Linked DNA regions of Yarrowia lipolytica. The protein of the gene in region 1 purifies or fractionates together with the protein of each later gene. This does not show direct contact. Links are inferred from orthologs where the notes say so. Each region holds a gene or a part of one and is shown in the gene's direction. Other genes may lie near its edges.

The links. Proteins that work in one complex are often made in the same cells at the same time.
Region 2: the proteins of YALI1_B00242g (region 1) and YALI1_E17935g purify together in Saccharomyces cerevisiae (affinity purification with mass spectrometry; 3 studies listed by BioGRID, with this or other methods). This does not show direct contact. The link is inferred for Yarrowia lipolytica from reciprocal best matches to the Saccharomyces cerevisiae genes NFU1 and ACO2.
Region 3: the proteins of YALI1_B00242g (region 1) and YALI1_E22961g purify together in Saccharomyces cerevisiae (affinity purification with mass spectrometry; 3 studies listed by BioGRID, with this or other methods). This does not show direct contact. The link is inferred for Yarrowia lipolytica from reciprocal best matches to the Saccharomyces cerevisiae genes NFU1 and ISA1.

The regions. Positions count from the first base shown.
Region 1 is NC_090771.1:21,682-26,947, forward strand, and holds YALI1_B00242g (uncharacterized protein), read left to right. Parts: upstream 1-2,540; coding exon 2,541-3,332; downstream 3,333-5,266. Other genes in the region: YALI1_B00273g (uncharacterized protein), read right to left, coding at 3,955-5,266. UniProt on the Saccharomyces cerevisiae protein: Involved in iron homeostasis within the mitochondrion where it is involved in the assembly of iron-sulfur proteins.
Region 2 is NC_090774.1:1,790,646-1,797,486, forward strand, and holds YALI1_E17935g (uncharacterized protein), read left to right. Parts: upstream 1-2,854; coding exon 2,855-5,227; downstream 5,228-6,841. Other genes in the region: YALI1_E17920g (uncharacterized protein), read right to left, coding at 9-1,376; YALI1_E17973g (uncharacterized protein), read left to right, coding at 6,656-6,841. UniProt on the Saccharomyces cerevisiae protein: Catalyzes the reversible dehydration of (R)-homocitrate to cis-homoaconitate, a step in the alpha-aminoadipate pathway for lysine biosynthesis.
Region 3 is NC_090774.1:2,293,417-2,298,525, forward strand, and holds YALI1_E22961g (uncharacterized protein), read left to right. Parts: upstream 1-2,742; coding exon 2,743-3,495; downstream 3,496-5,109. Other genes in the region: YALI1_E22921g (uncharacterized protein), read left to right, coding at 1-614; YALI1_E22988g (uncharacterized protein), read right to left, coding at 4,133-5,109. UniProt on the Saccharomyces cerevisiae protein: Involved in the assembly of mitochondrial and cytoplasmic iron-sulfur proteins. Probably involved in the binding of an intermediate of Fe/S cluster assembly.

The DNA.
Region 1 (5,266 bases):
TATTGTGCTAACGTAAACTATTTCTGCCCACCAAACTGGACACTTTCCCGACGACATGTGGTGCACATTTACGACAGTACATGCTGTACAAATAGGCAGCATAATTACTGTACAAGTAGAGCCTTAGCGTGAAACTTGTCTTAGCCGCGAAAGAGTCATCGAACGAGTCACGGGAAATGAAGGGATCAATCACGTGAACTTTCGTTTATGTCTGTAACTGTTGTTGCGGATGCGGCTGACAATGCTACTCGGGATGCGCAGTTTTTGTCATATCAAGAAAGCTGGATTGAAAGTGTAGAAATGGGTTGGGGAATCTCTGGTCAACTTTCGGGTTTGATTGGTTCTCGGCTGTGTTATCTGCTGGGTCGGTAATGAGCTCCTTATACGGATTTCATCAGCGACTACTGTACCAACCAAGTACGTCGGGAAGAGGTCCACAGTCTGCATTGACGCTAGAGTCAATGGTTGCAGTCTGGATACCTGAAACTAAAGAGAGCTATCACCATTTCTTAATCACAAGTATCAATTCCGTATCTGCATCATTGACGCTTTTCTTGTTCTTGGTGAGGGACAGGGATTTTCTCTTAGATACAATGTCATCGTCCATTTCCAACGTCGTTGTTCTCAGACACAAGACGGGCAAATTAGAGATTGAATTCAACTTGGCGTCTATAATAGCTCTCATTGAGACCAGAAGCTGGTCCATTCGCTTCTCAATCAGGCAATTCACCTGAGCCAACATTAAACATACCTTTATAGTAGTGTTTCCAAAAAAACTATATATATATATATATATATATTAAAAGATATAGTCCTATATATTATATATACATTGATGCTTAAGATCAGATTGGACGTGGAACATGCCTCGCTCTGAACACGAGTAAGGCTGTATATACATACGCTTGATTTCACCACTTCATGTTGAGGCACGATATTGCAAAAATAACGACACTTTTGTATGGTAATGTGCACATGCTGATTCCGTTTCTTCTTTCAAATTTCGAATCTGAATAATCTAGCCTGAGCAGAGATGTGTTTGTCAATTCACACTTCCGTTGAGTTACCTAAATGTAGACAACAGATAACATCTTATCTGACATATATCCGAAATACGAGCGGGGCTGGAAATGTCACATAACTTGTCGAATATACAGTTTTTTATCGAGTCGAAAAGAGAAATTGAACCCTATGACGAACTGAAATTGAAATCTATTTCACATACGTCACATCTACCTCTACATTCAAAATTTCAGCCCGTTCCAATACTCCTACGACCTTCATATGCACGCACCTGCAGTCCACCAAACACTAATGACAATATCACTTTCAATCCAGCCCGTGTTGTTTTGATTTGCCCAATCAGAAAGTCTGCATGAGTTACACAGACAGATTTCCCACTCTATATATCCGCCTTGTTTCCCCAATGTCTCTCTTCTCTTCTTCATCAGCACTCAGAAACATACAAGTAGACTGACAACGGTACAGCTCAGTTGAACTAACTCACACCTCAGGTTAATGGCTCTAGTGAGTACTTCATTAACATCATTGTTTTTCTCCCACAAAAACATGTCTAGACCCACGTTAGACGGTATTATCACCATGTGCGGTCGAGCTCTCCTTTTGTTCAGTTTCGACTCTCATCTCCTTTCTGGTCTAGCTATTTACCTATCGTTGGCACTCTCTTCAGCAGCACCAATTCTTTAAATGGTGACCTGAAAGTCGAAATACCAACTAAACCGACCAATTCAAGCCCAAATAAACCACCCAATTCCCACCAGCTTTCTCGACCAAGCCCTGGAGCCTCTGTCTTACATCTCGGCTCCGACTCGGCCATCACAGTCCTGTGAACTCCCAGCAGTACGCTTACTAAGCAAACAGAGTTTAGATTCGGAGCAAGCAATTGCGGTCACATGTAGCAACGACGATTGCGGGGAGAAAGCGAACCCAGCGCCAGCACCTTGAATTGAGAGTCCTCTTTGCCGCTGCAGCCAATCACCGCGCGGCTCTTTGGGATTATGTAAGAATGCATATTTTTTTTGGTTGGGAGTAGATGTGCAGGGCGAGATTGCGGTGCATAACCGGATGAGGTTAATTGGCAAAAGGGCAGATTTGGGGGGATTATGAGGGGGAAAAGGCGATTTTCAAGGTTGGAAACAGATTCCATCGCCAAAATCAGCATATATTCCTTCTTTTCCGGCTCAAATCGGATTGCTATCGAACTTTTTGGCGAGTGGCAAAGATTACAAATTTGAGTTTGAACTTGTGTAATACAAGCCGGGGAAGATGATAGGATGGAGTAAGTAGTCGAGTAAATAATGGGTCTATCGGAATTCTGAAACTACCAATGGATTTATCTCGTATTAGTGATCAACAATATATATTTAAAGTCCTCATAGCTCTAATATTGACCCACTTCAAGGCACTCTATCTTCTTTTCTCCAATTCACCTCCCATGCACGAGCAAAGTTTAAATTATCACCACTAGACTTATAACACCAAGTCCACCACCACTTTTCATCTCCACCACACAACACAAAATGCTCCGAAACGCCGTGCGACTCATGAACCGGGCCCAGCGACCCGCCGTTCGACTCGCTCTCACGCGACAATTCACACAGCCGGCTCTGCGGCCCCAGATCGCCGCCGGCAAGCTCCCCAGCCTCCACAGAACCATGTTCATCCAGACGGCCTCCACCCCCAACGAGGACGCCCTCAAGTTCCTGCCCTCGGTCCAGATTCTCCCCGAGGGCCACACCGTCGAGTTTACCAGCGGCCGAGAGGCCCACTCGTCCCCACTGGCCAAGAAGCTGTTTGGTGTAGACGGCGTCCGATCGGTCATGTTCGGATCCGACTTCATCACCGTCGAAAAGGCCCAGGACACCCACTGGAACACCCTCAAGCCCGAGGTCTTCTCCATTCTCACCGAACACATCACTGCCGGCGCCCCCATTGTCATGGAGGGCACCACCGCCGCCGAGGATACGGCTCCCTGTGACGACGACTCCGAGGTTGTGTCTATGATCAAGGAGCTCATCGAAACCCGAATCCGACCGGCCATCCAGGAAGATGGTGGCGACATTGCATTCCGAGGCTTTGACGAGGACACCGGCGTCGTGCACCTCAAGCTGCTGGGCGCCTGCCGATCTTGTGACTCTTCAGCCGTCACCCTCAAGAACGGTATCGAGAGCATGCTCATGCACTACGTCGAGGAGGTGACTGGTGTCGAGCAGTTCCTCGATCCCGAGGAGAAGGTTTCTCTCGAGGAGTTTGAGAAGCTCGAGAAGCGACTGGCTGAGGAGAAGGGCGAGGAGGTGCCTCCCTCCCTCTAAGAAGTAGGTGCGAAGCGGCTGACTTCTTTTGGAGGATCACTGCGGCCACCTAACCGAATGAAAGCGAGACGATTGGTGTCACTTTGCTGAGTCCCTCGTTAACTATGCGCACACAGCAGATAGACCATAAGTGTATATAATAGATTGAATGATTAATGGGTGAGAGGCGTGTAGTTTGTCATTGACGATGGCAGTAGAGAGGGCAAGTCGAGGGAAGGAGAAGTGTCGACTGGCAAAAAGCTTGAGATTGGAGTACAGTACCGACGAATGTCTAGCGTTCAATCAAACACCTCTTGGTACTACTGGCTGGTCGTGACTGGAGTGACAGTATCTTGTGATCCAACCAGAGATATGGACAAACTGTCGGTGATAATTCTCTTCAGGGAAGCCCTGAAGACCATCTACAACTCGAAAACACCGCGATCTGATTGTTTCAGCTCAGACGTATGACTTGCAAGAACTGCTGGAGAAGGCATGACACAGCAATACATCTCTGCGGTCACATGACCAATCATTAAAAATGCTCATAAAATAAATAAATATGGGAGGTATGCGAGCTAGTGGAGGAATGGTGCCCCGGGTAGCCAAGGCTACGCTTCATTGGAACACTCGCCGCACTCGGCTACCAAATCCTCTTGCTCACCATATCAAACCTGCTGACATTCTGCAGCTCCACCACCTTCTTCTTGTGCTGCTTCTCCTTCTTTTCCTCCCCGTCGCTGTACAGACCCTGCTGCATATCGTCCGTCAGCTCAATCACGCCCTGTCCCCCCCTCGTCTTTCCAGGCAGATAATCGTCCTTGATTGACTCAGATCTCTTCTTTTCCATCTCGTCAAACGTTCGCTTCTGTCGTCTTCTCTTGCTGTGACTGTACCTCAACAAGGTGAGGCCCAGAAACAACTTGAAGATGACCAGTACGGCAAACACAAGCGCAAACACCAGAATCATCGTCAGCAGATACGTCACATAGTAAATGTCGAATTTCGCCCACACAGGGATAATGTTGGAAGAAAACGACACCAGAGGCGATGTGCCGTTGTACAACGAGCTGAAAAACGTCCTTGTGGCCTGGGCAATCTCAGAAACGGACACGTTGTTGACGAACTTTGTGTCCACCTGTGCCAATGTCTCTCTCAGTTGGGGACTGACTGTAGGCGTTCCCTTGACAAAACGCGACTCTCCAGACTCGAAAAGAATCTGGTAGCTCTGGTAGCACATGCGCATGAAGACGCACGCCAGAGCCGTGGTAGGAAGGCCCATTCGTCGAGTAATGAGCTGGTCATTGAATGCATGCTCGTGATAGTCCTGAGTGAGCACGTCCAGAAACTTGCGGTACACTCTGGGACGGAAATTGTTGAATTTCGCAATGTACGAGTGCTTGAGCCAGTCGACAGCGACTTCGGAGCCCAGCACCACTAGAGCAGGACCCAGCAGAGCCCCTAGCCATCGATTCCAGCCCGACCACGACGATGGAACGAGACCCGTATTGGAGACCTCGACCACGTTCCGGAGTCCGATGGACACCAGTAGCACCCACAACTGGAACCGCTCGGTGATATCTGCACAGGTGAGCTGGAACAGAGACTCGCGTTCAAACCGCTTAAAAACGGTCGACTTGACCTCGTTGAACTGGTTGGACAACAGCAGGGTCAGCAGCGCGTTGGAGTACGAGTTGACGGCCACGTTGAGGGTCACAATCTGGTACAGCAGCACCCCTGAATGCACAGCCGAGTAAGCCATGTACAGACCCATGTATGTCGCGAGTCGCTGGTAGTTGTTGAGGGTGCCTGCGGAAAAGAGCGACTCCAGCACATCCAGACCCCAAGCCGCACACAGTTTGTCTGTGATTTCCAGCACGTTGAACATGACGTAGAGCTTCATGGCGTTCTGGCCTCTGATGTTGTGGTAGAGCTTGGAGGTGTCAATGAGCAGC
Region 2 (6,841 bases), on another chromosome or scaffold:
TATTGTGACTACTCGTATCGCTGAACAATAGCAGCACCAATAACCTTAGCATCCTTCAGAGTCAAGCTCTTGTCTCTAAGTTCCTTATTGGGGAATGTGGTCTGGAGAACGTATTCTCGACCAGAGGGGTTGTGTTCATCAACAAAATCGTAGAGGGACTGGACAGTGAGATCGGGGGAGAAGGAGGGAGTAAGACGAGTTCCGTCGCCAAGTCGAATCTGAATTCTGCTTCCTCCTGCTCCAGATGAGGAGTTTGAAGGACCAGATGAGGTAGCAGCAGGAGTAGGGGCGGAGGGTGGCGGAGTGGCGGAGGAGGAGGGGGTAGGCTCCCCAGGAACAGGAGATCCGAGACGATTACCAGAACCTCCGTAGACAGGCTTCTTCTCCACGTATGCCTCTTCACTTCGGTCCGTCACGTTAATATCAACGGCCTGGTTATGTTGGACATCCAGGAGAGCCAGAGGAGCTCGTCCTTGGTTGAGGGTCTCGAGGTACCGCTGGTTTCGGGGGTCGTCGTATCTGTACAGAGGACCATCCTCGACTGTGAAACCGTTCTGCCAGAAGGTGATTGATCGAGAGACCTTGGGGAGAGAGGTGGGGAGAGCAGACTCCACGGGTCGGCTTTGGACCTCGTCGGAGCCCAGAGTGAACCCTGTTCCGTGGAAGCTTCCCACCTGTTCCTCATCCTCTGACTCATCGTCGTTCTCACCTCGAGGTCTTGCTGGGTTGGCCTCAGCTCGTCGAATGATATCATTAACCAGAGGGTTGCCTCCCTGGTTGCCCTGCTGGCCAGGTCTGTTGGGGTTCTGGACAGCCAGAGCCGACTTTTCTCCTCCAGTGAATAGGTCCTGTCGCTTGGGAGGCGCATTGTCTCGCGACAGATCTCCCAGAGTTCTGACACCCGCCACGCCCCTTCTAGGAGCAGGAGCAGGGGCAGGGGCAGAAGGAGCAGGAGTGGTGCTACTGCTGGCTCCGCTGACAGGAGTTGACGACCCGGTACCGTCTCCGAGTCTGTATCCAGAGGGCTGGGGGTTGCTGAGGATTCCCTGTGGCTCAGAGGCAGCAGCAGCAGGATCATCTCTGCCAGCTAGGCCACTGAGGAAGCCCTGGATTCCGGCGGCAATTCCACTGGGGGCCAGACCCGAGGGGTTGGCGTATGCGTCCGAGTCCTCCTCGACGTCAATGTCCTCGGCATCGTCGTTTTCAGCATCCTCCTCGTTCTCCTCGGGGTCGTCGTTAGCCGACAAGAACAGATCGACAGCCTGAGCCACGTCCCAGTCGGTGTGGAGCAAGCAATCCTGTGCATCTTCGGGCGAGGACTGTGTGATTCCCACGAATTGCGCGATTCGTTCGGTTTTTTCTTCTTCAGATACCATTTCTAGTCGTTGTGGCAGCTTTTGGTTAAGACTTCCTCAATGGTGGCAAGTTAAGTGTAATGCTGGTCCGAGATACATTAAGCTTTTGGATATGCAAGATGATGGTACACCCGAAATCGAACGTCGATATGGAGGTGAAGAGATGGTGCGTTTTACAGGGGACATCTTTGCCTCGTTTGAACGGAGGTTGCTTGGTGCTTTCAGTCGCTTTGGTAGCTCCCGAGACTTTTGCATACCTTTTGGGGCCACGATTTTTGGTCCGGCGCCAACCTGCCCCAAAATGCAAGTTGGTCCCGTGCAACCTATGGAGGAAACTACTCGAAAAGTCTGAGTGTACTGTACCGGGAAGGGCTACGAAGGTATTCCATTACAAGGAGACCATTTCTGCCAGATTGGGGGTATATATCACATTGAGCAAGGGTTAACAACCTTTACCGTGTGTAGTCACGTGAAGTTTTGTGTTGCTGTGCATGTAGCAAGTACAGTACATACTGTGTGAGTAGGTGGCGGCTACAAGTGCATACTGTAGCTCTTGATATGTGCAACCCAAAAACAGTAAATTGATGCACATTTGTTTGAATAACCGCAGAATATTGGAAAAAATCGGAAATAATAGGTAAAAAAATATAAACCGCTAGTGCAACATATTTGGGGGAGGAGAGGGTATGGTGTGGACCTATTTGTCTGTCCCCGAGGCATACAGTGGTTTTTTTGCTCTAGACAGTGCCAATTTAACCCCAGATCACTCGGTCTTTCTTCGTTGCCCTATACACACCCAAACATGATGTTATAATAGTCACCACACAGACAACAATATCGTGCACATGTTTTCTTCCGCAAGATGACACGACAAAGATGCAACTTCCAGGTCAATATATATAGGTCGCCTACTCGTACGTGATGTTATATATACACCATCGACCAGACGCGTGCCTCCCAAGTTAAGATTACGTCATTTCATTTCTACCCCAGGAACTATGCACCCAGCGATATCGGCAGCTCCACGGAGAAGTCTTTTTCAGCGGACCCCAGAACATGTGTCCAAAGCGACGTGATAGAGACACAAAACAAAAACTACTAGTTGCTAACATGACGACGACTAAAAACATGTTATCCACATGCACTTGATATCTACAACGATTACAGGTATTGTGGACGCTGTGTGTACCAACCGAATAAAGTTGCATGAATGGGTTGGTCTATTCACATGGGTCAGAGTCACGTGAAGGCGCGTAATATGGGGTATGGAAGGGTCAAACACCACTCTACCCAATGAACAAAGCACACGGACGGTGTCTCCGCTTTTATCATCCGTCCATACGCCCGGCTGGCTTACATTTGCGTGTTCTTGATTGGCTGGATAATGTGCAGTTGTGCACGAACCTTATCAGTATGAGTCACCGTGATATTTCAGATCACGAAGTTTCACCCTTTTTGACACAAACCAACTAAAAGATTTTCCCCACACAACCGAAAAAATGCTGAGAAGTGCTCGATTTTGCCAGGCACGATTCTCGGCCATCAAGGCTCGTGGTCTTGCCACCACTGCCAACGCCTCCGGCCTCAGCGTGCCCGCTGACTTCAAGACCCGAACCCCTCCCTACGCGGAGCTCATCAACCGTCTTGATCAGGTCAAGAAGATTATCAACCGAAATGATTTGACCTTGGCTGAAAAAATTCTGTATTCACATCTTCACAACCCTGAGGAGACTCCCAGCATCACTCGAGGTGACACTTACCTCAAGCTCAACCCCGACCGAGTGGCCATGCAGGATGCCTCTGCTCAGATGGCTCTGCTGCAGTTTATGACCTGTGGTCTTCCTTCCACCGCCGTGCCTGCGTCCATTCACTGTGACCATCTGATTGTTGGCCGAGACGGTGCCGATGATGATCTGACCCGATCTATCGCTACCAACCAGGAGGTGTTCGACTTCCTGCAGCAATGTGCCGAGAAGTACGGCATCCAGTTCTGGGGCCCCGGATCCGGTATCATCCACCAGATTGTGCTGGAGAACTTCTCTGTTCCCGGTCTCATGATGCTCGGAACCGACTCTCACACTCCCAACGCTGGTGGTCTCGGTGCCATTGCCATCGGTGTTGGAGGAGCCGACGCTGTCGACGCTTTGACCGGAACTCCCTGGGAACTGAAGGCCCCCAAGATTCTCGGAGTCAAGCTGACTGGAAAGCTGTCCGGCTGGGCTTCTCCCAAGGATGTTATTACCCATCTGGCTGGCAAGCTGACTGTGCGAGGAGGAACCGGAAACATCATCGAGTACCACGGCGAGGGTGTTGACTCCCTGTCCTGCACCGGTATGGCCACAATTTGCAACATGGGTGCCGAGGTCGGTGCTACCACCTCTACGTTCCCCTTTACGGAGTCCATGCGACGATACTTGGAGGCCACCGGACGAGCTCCCATTGCCGCAGCAGCAGCAGCTGCTCGAGACCGAGGCTTCTTGGCTGCTGACGAGGGTGCTCAGTATGACGAGGTTGTAGAGGTCAACCTGTCCGAGCTCGAGCCCTGTATCAACGGTCCCTTCACTCCCGATCTGGCCACCCCCCTCTCCAAGTACTCCACCAAGGTCACCTCTGAGAAGTGGCCCGATACCGTGTCTGCCGGTCTCATTGGATCATGCACCAACTCCTCCTACGAGGACATGACCCGAGTCGCCTCTCTGGTTGAGCAGGCCCGAGACAACGGTCTCGAGGCCAAGATTCCCTTCTTCATCACCCCCGGATCCGAGCAGATTCGAGCCACCATCAAGAAGGACGGTCTGACAGACGTGTTCGAGTCTGCTGGTGCGGTGGTTCTGGCCAACGCCTGTGGACCCTGTATCGGTCAGTGGGATCGAACTGACGAGACCAAGCCCGGCGAGTTCAACTCCATCTTCACCTCTTTCAACCGAAACTTCCGAGCCCGAAACGATGGTAACCCCGAAACCATGAACTTCCTGACCTCTCCCGAGATTGTCACCGCTATGATCTACTCTGGAGACGCTCACTTCAACCCCATGACCGACTCCATCACCACCAAGGACGGCAAGGAATTCAAGTTCCAGCCCCCTAAGGGTACCGAGCTGCCCGAGGAGTTTGCCAAGGGCCGACCCGAGTTCTACCCCGAGGCTGCCCCCCAGCCCCATCCCGAGGTGAACGTGACTGTCTCCCCCGATTCCGAGCGACTGCAGCTCCTTGAGCCTTTTGAGCCCTTTAACAACCAGGAGCTCAAGCTCTCGGTACTCATGAAGGTTGAGGGCAAGTGCACCACCGACCACATTTCGGCCGCTGGTGCCTGGCTCAAGTACAAGGGCCATCTTGAGAACATTTCCTACAACACCCTGATTGGTGCTCTTAACAAGGAGACCCAGAAGGTCAACCACACTATTGATGCCGCTGACGGCTCCGAGCAGTCTATCCCCGACCTCATGATCAAGTGGAAGGAGCAGGGCAAGCCCTGGATTGTTGTTGCTGAGCACAACTACGGAGAGGGTTCCGCCCGAGAGCATGCTGCTCTGTCTCCCCGATTCCTCGGTGGACAGGCCATCCTAGTCAAGTCTTTCGCTCGAATTCACGAGACCAACCTCAAGAAGCAGGGTATGCTTCCTCTGACCTTTGAGAACGAGGCCGACTACGACAAGATCCAGGCCTGCGACACTCTGGAGACCCTGGACCTCCTGGACATGCTTGAGAAGGGTGGTGACAACGGTGGCTTTGTCCAGATGCGAGCTACCAAGTCTGACGGCTCTACCTACGACTTCCGAGCCCGACACACCATGTCTGCCGACCAGGTTGATTTCTTCAAGGCTGGTTCTGCCATCAACTTCATTGGAGCCCAGAAGGCTGCCAACAAGTAAAGCCAGTAGTCTCCTTAGAGCAAGAGAGGCTGCACCTTCAAAAATAACAACCCCCCAAAACTGTAAAAATGAATTAAAGTCGAAAATGAGTTCCGAGATGAATAAAAGCCCAACGCACAGTGCAAATAATATTCCACTGTACCCCGTATAAGACCAATCAATATTATCTTTTGAGGCCCCCCCTCCGCTCCAAACATTCTTCGGGTCTCATTTGCTTTGAAAACCCATGTGTGCCTCAATGTGGCAATTCCAGGAAGGGAAAGGGGTCAAGTCAAGGGGCAATCGTGAAGTGTCGCAACTGTTGTGCAGAAGGACGGGAGCTAATGTCGACAGTTAAACAACAGCTGTTGATTTCGAAACATACTTCTTTCGAGGCTGCCGCACGCTCGCTGAGGCTCTTGTCGTATAGTCATGTGTGCCTGTGTGATGATGCCTCGAAGCAGGCCAGGTTGTGTGGCAGTCGGGGGTATACGAGTACGATACACAACAGAGAGCGGTCTTTGTGTATAAAAAGTCGTATTTAAGACTCCTGTGGGGGGGAATTGTACACGCGTTCACGCCGGAAAGATATTATTATTGCTGTTTGCTCCTGTTTATAAAGGCAGAAACACGCGCCAGCCTGAACACCAAAAGGAGATACCGAAACAAAGAAAACTGTGGGACGATAATTAGTTATGGAATGGAGACCCCGCACTACTAATATGCGCTATATTCTCTTTCCAATCCGGGGTCCCCGAGACTCGTAACTGTACGCCTTTGTTAATCAGCCTGGTAGACCTGTCAACCTCCTCATGTTGTCCTGTCATTCAATTGGTATTCACAAACCAACATCACAGAATGCTGATCTGCAAGTGCATTCGAAAATTGTGATTTCGATTGACACCAATGGATGGTTTTCAACTTTGGCACTCATTGAATTGCCATTGTTGGTCCGTGACCTGGACCAGAGCTCAACGAAATCATTTTGTGCAGTCAGATGACACAACAATATGAGAGCACAGATTGAGATGCATGCTTCCAGGAACGTACAAACGGACCCCCAAGTCGTGAGATACTTTGTTACGTGTACCAATAAGTTGGAGTATTCGCTAAAGACGAAAAACGCTCTGATTTGGTTACGGCACTGGTCACCTGCATTCCTAAAATTAATCGCACATCTGGTATTGTCTTACAGCATGTCCACCTCTCCTCCTCTCCTTGGGTACAGTATTGTACAGAAGAATGCAGCCTTTCATACATAAATCCCAAGTAATTTTACGAGTGATTTGGGTAACTGTCCCATTACGTCATGGGCTCAACTCTCCCCGAGCCATTGTGGATCGTCACAGGATTTAATTATATGTCCTGTCCGAAACTCTATTCATCACTGCCGTACATGGATTCTGCAATGTTGGATATCCATCTCAACTGTACGTAATTGTATGTCGTATGACCTGTGGACAGCAAAAAACCCCACAAACCGACCACAACAATAAAACCAGTCCTTTGACTCCCCACACTCGACGTGTTGATGAGATCGGCTGCCTTCACAGTTCCCAGTTTTGCATCAGCACGCACATTCAATGCTGTAATTACGTATTGGTACAGGTTCCACGCGTCATTTATCACGTGCGG
Region 3 (5,109 bases), on another chromosome or scaffold:
CCGATACGGGCTCCCAGTTTCTTGAAGGAACCACAGACACCACTCGAACGTGGCACTTCGGCAGCCCCAGCGACGAGGAGCGAACCTCAAACACGTTGGTTCTCAAGGGCCACATTGCTCTGGCCGAGTCGGTGTTCCCCGAGGGCACCACCGGTTTTGCTCTCGACATTTTGGCCCGTCAGTTCCTGTGGAAGTACGGTCTGGACTACCGACACGGCACAGGCCACGGTATTGGCGCCTTCCTCAACGTGCACGAGGGCCCCTTCGGAATCGGCTTCCGACCCGCCTACAGAGACTTCCCCATGGAGATTGGAAATGTGGTGTCCAACGAGCCTGGTTACTACAAGGACGGCGAGTACGGTATTCGAATCGAGTCTGTTCTGATCTGCAAGGAAAAGAAGACCCAGGAAAACTTTGGAGGTAAGAAGTATCTGGGCTTTGAGACCATCACCCGGGTGCCTCTGTGCCACAAGCTGATTGACGTTTCTATGCTGGAGGACTCGGAGAAGAAGTGGGTCAACCACTACCACCAGGTTGTGCGGAACGAGGTTGGACCTCTGGTTGAGGGCGAGGTCAAGGAGTGGTTGCTCAAGGAGACTGCTCCTCTGGAGTAGACATGTCACTGTAATTATTCTGAATGCATAATGATTTACGAGCGTTGAGGTTGACTGTATGAACAATGGCATGCCGGTATAGGTGCTGGACACCAGAGACCACTAAAGGGCCCCACTGAGTGCTGTACTAGAGCTTTAGAACAGTTTCTGGTCTTCCTGGAGTGCACTGAGGCTGAAGAGAGATACAAGTACATACGGCATGTAACTGTGATGGGATGAGGACTATAAGAAGGAAGCAGTACCGTGCACGACTTGAATTGATGGGCGTCGAGCTTTTATTCTGGCTGTTCTAGAAGTGTGATAGCGATGATGGGCACGTTCAAGCGTTAATTACAGATTCTTTCCCGACAAAGAACGGGTCCCTGTCGGAAGCTACTGCCAAAACCACGGTGAAGTATGGGACACCAAAGGGAGCCTTTCGGAGGAAAAAGCAATAACTATTCCGGAAGTCCGCCAACTCCAAGATCGGGTATTATATATTGAGAGCTGAGATGAAGGGCTCAACATGTCCTCTTAGTTATGGACGCTGGTAACATGTCTTGAGATGTGCTTCTATTGCTGCTACTTTTCTAGACAGTACATACAATGCAAGTAGGAGCACTCGCAAAAACGGTCAATCTGGTAAGTGACCGACGTGGTACCGAGGCTGATACGATATACTGCCCTGGAAACAGCTTGTACTCGTACTGGCACATGTAACAACTGTAGCAGTTAAAGCAACAAGCTAATCACTCAAGGCATATTATAGATCTATCACTCAGGACACCTTATAGATCATTCTCTTCATCAGATCTATCACTTCATCTTATAGATCTACCAAAGATAACGATTCACAAACCACGCTCTACAATTAGGAATCCTACTCCGCACCCCCGCCCAACGCCAACAGGATCCGATTCCATTCCAGAAGTGGTCTTTCTAAAGCCGGTCGATTGTGCGGCTCAGATAAAGTTGATGTTCATGGTTTCTTTTTCATATCTGCTGATTCTCAGACTTTGCCCTGGAGATCAGACATGGCAACTATGTGTGTATGTATGTACATACGATGATAATACCAACACAGGGTAGGATGACTCTTGGCGAATCGATGGCGAGATGTTAATCAGCAGACTCGGATAAGGCAACCTTTTCTCCTCCAGTATCATTTTTCTATCCGTATTCGGACTTGTACGATACTCCTGCTACCTGCTAGTGGTTTTGATCATGTACATTTTGATCCATGTTGATGCCCTGGATTCAGAACCCTAACGCCAGATTACGCACAATGGTACCTTGTGCTTACCCCAACATTTGCTCAGCCAATGGGCGTCCGTGTAATAAAAACCCGGTCAGCATATTACTAATCAAGTTTCCACAGCCTTCCATGGCATTCCAGCGCCAATATCGACGCAGATACACACTCTCAAGCTGGTTTTGCCAGTCGCCCGACCTTGCCGGTTAGTCTTCCTCGACTCTTTTAAGCCGCACAATGTTTGCACCGATGGTTACTGGCGGAGATCATGTGATGCATCAGGGGCAATGTGAGAGCAAGTCCCACCAGATTTATCGGCGCCGACAAGAGTTTTGGACCGCGGAAACCCGGAAATTTGCCCTGACCAAAGACTCAGGTCGGTGCTGCAACCACAAACACCCGATAATATCGTCCATATGGCTCACTCCGGAGACCCTTGCGGTCACAAGATAAACTGCCTGTTAACGAGAGTGCAGAGTCATTTCCGAAACCTTATTTTGGAAATATAACGGTTGCCTGATTGGCTGTCGGTGGGAAGCTTCGGGTGCGTAAAGGGGGGGATTTTGGGGGCAGAAAACCAGATTAGGGCTGTTTTGAGCTGCCTAGTAATATATGGACGTTTTTTCCATCTGCAAATTCCGCACAATTAAACCAGTTGCACACGTTTCCGTGGTTTATGACCATCTCATTACGTCACCAGTTATGGGGAACCTTATTGCCTCTCTTTCTGAACTCTAAACCCAGCCAATCACAGCTCGAACATATGTAAGCTTGGTGTCCCAACAGCAGCCCCGGGGCGGACCCGAAGTTATTTAACCTCCACACATTTTGATTTATAAGAGCAAAGGTTCCCTCCAACGCTACTAAGCCAACACAACAACACTACACACACAACATATGACAATGTCACTACGAAACAAATTGACGGTTGGAAAGCGATTCCTACAGACGGCGGAGCGGTCGACTCCTTCCATGACCCCGTTCATGCTCAACAACCCGAATGCGTACCATTCGTCCAAGAGCGACAACCAGGCCGAGAACAAGTCGTCTTCGTCTCAGCCCCAGGGATTCACATGGGCCCGTCACCAGCTGCCCCGTTTCGACGCCGCTTCCAAGTCGTCCAAGATCGAGACCCCCAAACCCTTTGCATTCAAATTCCCCAACACACAGGACAAGTCGTCGCGACCTGCCACCACTCCTTTTGCATTCCGACCTGCCGCCAAGACCAGCGCACCGGCCGCTGCTCCTACTAAGGCTGCTGCCCCCGCTGAAAAGGCTGCTGCTCCCGCCCCCGCTCCCAAGCGAACCCGAAAGTTGCGACCCCGAAAGGCCGTCATCACTCTTTCGCCCACAGCTGTCAAGCACCTCAAGGACCTCCTTGACCAGCCCGAGCCAAAGCTCATTCGAATTGGCGTAAGAAACCGAGGATGTTCCGGACTCACCTACCACATTGACTACGTGGACAAGCCCGCCAAGTTTGACGAGGAGGTTGTCCAGGACGGCGTGCGAGTGCTCATCGACTCCAAGGCCCTGTTTAGCATTATCGGATCCGAGATGGACTGGCTCGACGACAAGCTGTCTTCGCGGTTCATTTTCCGAAACCCCAACTCCAAGGGAGAGTGTGGATGTGGCGAGTCCTTCATGGTTTAAGAAGGATGATCGTTCAGAGGAGACGGATACAAAGATAAGACGAGACAATGCTCAAACGAGTACCCTGCATTATTTATAGCATAATATTATATTAGATATCAACATTAGTACGAGTGGAAGTATCGTTGTCGATAGGTTCTTTCCTCTAATGGGTGCCTAAATGCTCCTCACGAGCAGAAGATGAGAGATGAACACGTTCAGCGCGTTCGTGTCTTACAAAGTGTGTATTTACGCACGCGCGTTGTAGCTGAAGACTGTGGACGTCTAAGTAAGTCCAAGTACATGTACTCGTACTTGACTCTTCTATACAGACGGTTATTGCTACGCTTACACTTATATCGTAGTCGTGGATAGAGTCGTCTGAAGCAATTTTGTAGGCTCATAGAAAGGTCTAGTCGTTTGTGGTCTCATTACATCAACTACCGGTTGAGGAGATGATTGGAAATACAATTACAAGCAATACTCGTATTATGATACCAATGGCTCTCTACCTCATGATAGCAAGCCATGGCATGCTGTACACAGCCAATATGGGTACTGTATATGGATACAGCTGCAACACTTTAGAACATTGCCGAGTTCAGAGACATCTCTTGTACACGTCCAGCTCGCACGTACAGTATCATGCAATATATTCCTATAGCACACCTCCAGGGGTACCTACGACGACGCCTGTCTGTTTCATGCCCTCGATATGGCGTAGCATGAAGACGGGCTGTTTTCCGGCGTCTTGCAGCTCTTTGAAAATGATGAGCGGTTTTTCCTCAAGCCCCAGAAGCCGTTCCTGGTCTCCATAGCACACCAGCAGCGCATACTGCTTCCAGTCGCCGTTGATCTTGTATCGTCGTAGAGCTGCCGGCAGCACCTTGTAGCAGGGGTCGTCTAGCGTCACTCGGAACGACTTGAACGGTTCTGTCGCCAGAGTGCTGGTGGACTGGCTGCTGTTAGAAACCGGTTGGCTGGTGCTGGTGGGTTGTGCGTTGGTGCTGCTTGGCTGGGCCCCAGGCGAAACCAAGGATGTGTTGGAGAAGTTGACTTGTGACGATGCGGCAGACCCGCTCTGGTAGGGATGGGAGAAGTGTAGGGTGGTAGAGCCCCCCGGCGTAACTACGGGAGTGGCAGCCACCGAGGAGTCTGAGGGAGACAATAACGACTTGACTGAGCCGAGATAGAGATTCGGCCGTTTCTGTTCCGAGGGTCCAGAAGTTCCGGAGGAGCTCGCTGTTGCTGCAGACTCGGGTTCCAGAGTTGTGGGCGACTTCTGGGCACTCTTGTTGTTCAACTTGCTCAGCTTCCGGGCTATAGAAGGGCCCGGGTTGTTGGCCCCGGAACCTGGCTCTTTGGCGGCTGTATTTGGAGCAGCAGCGTCATTGGGGGTTCCTGGCGAATGTAAGTAATGGGCATGGATGGGGTTGGTTCCATCAGGAGTGGGCAGCGGTTTGCTTTCCTTGACAAACTTGAACAGAGGAAGCAGGTCTTCTCTGATCTTGTTAAAAGAGTCAATGAGCTTCTTGAGCTCCTGCTCCACGTGGTACACGCGCTCATCTCGGATCTCAAAGCTCTTGAACAGCCGGTTGTAGTCGTCTATATCGGTGGTTTTGATGGATGGAGGAA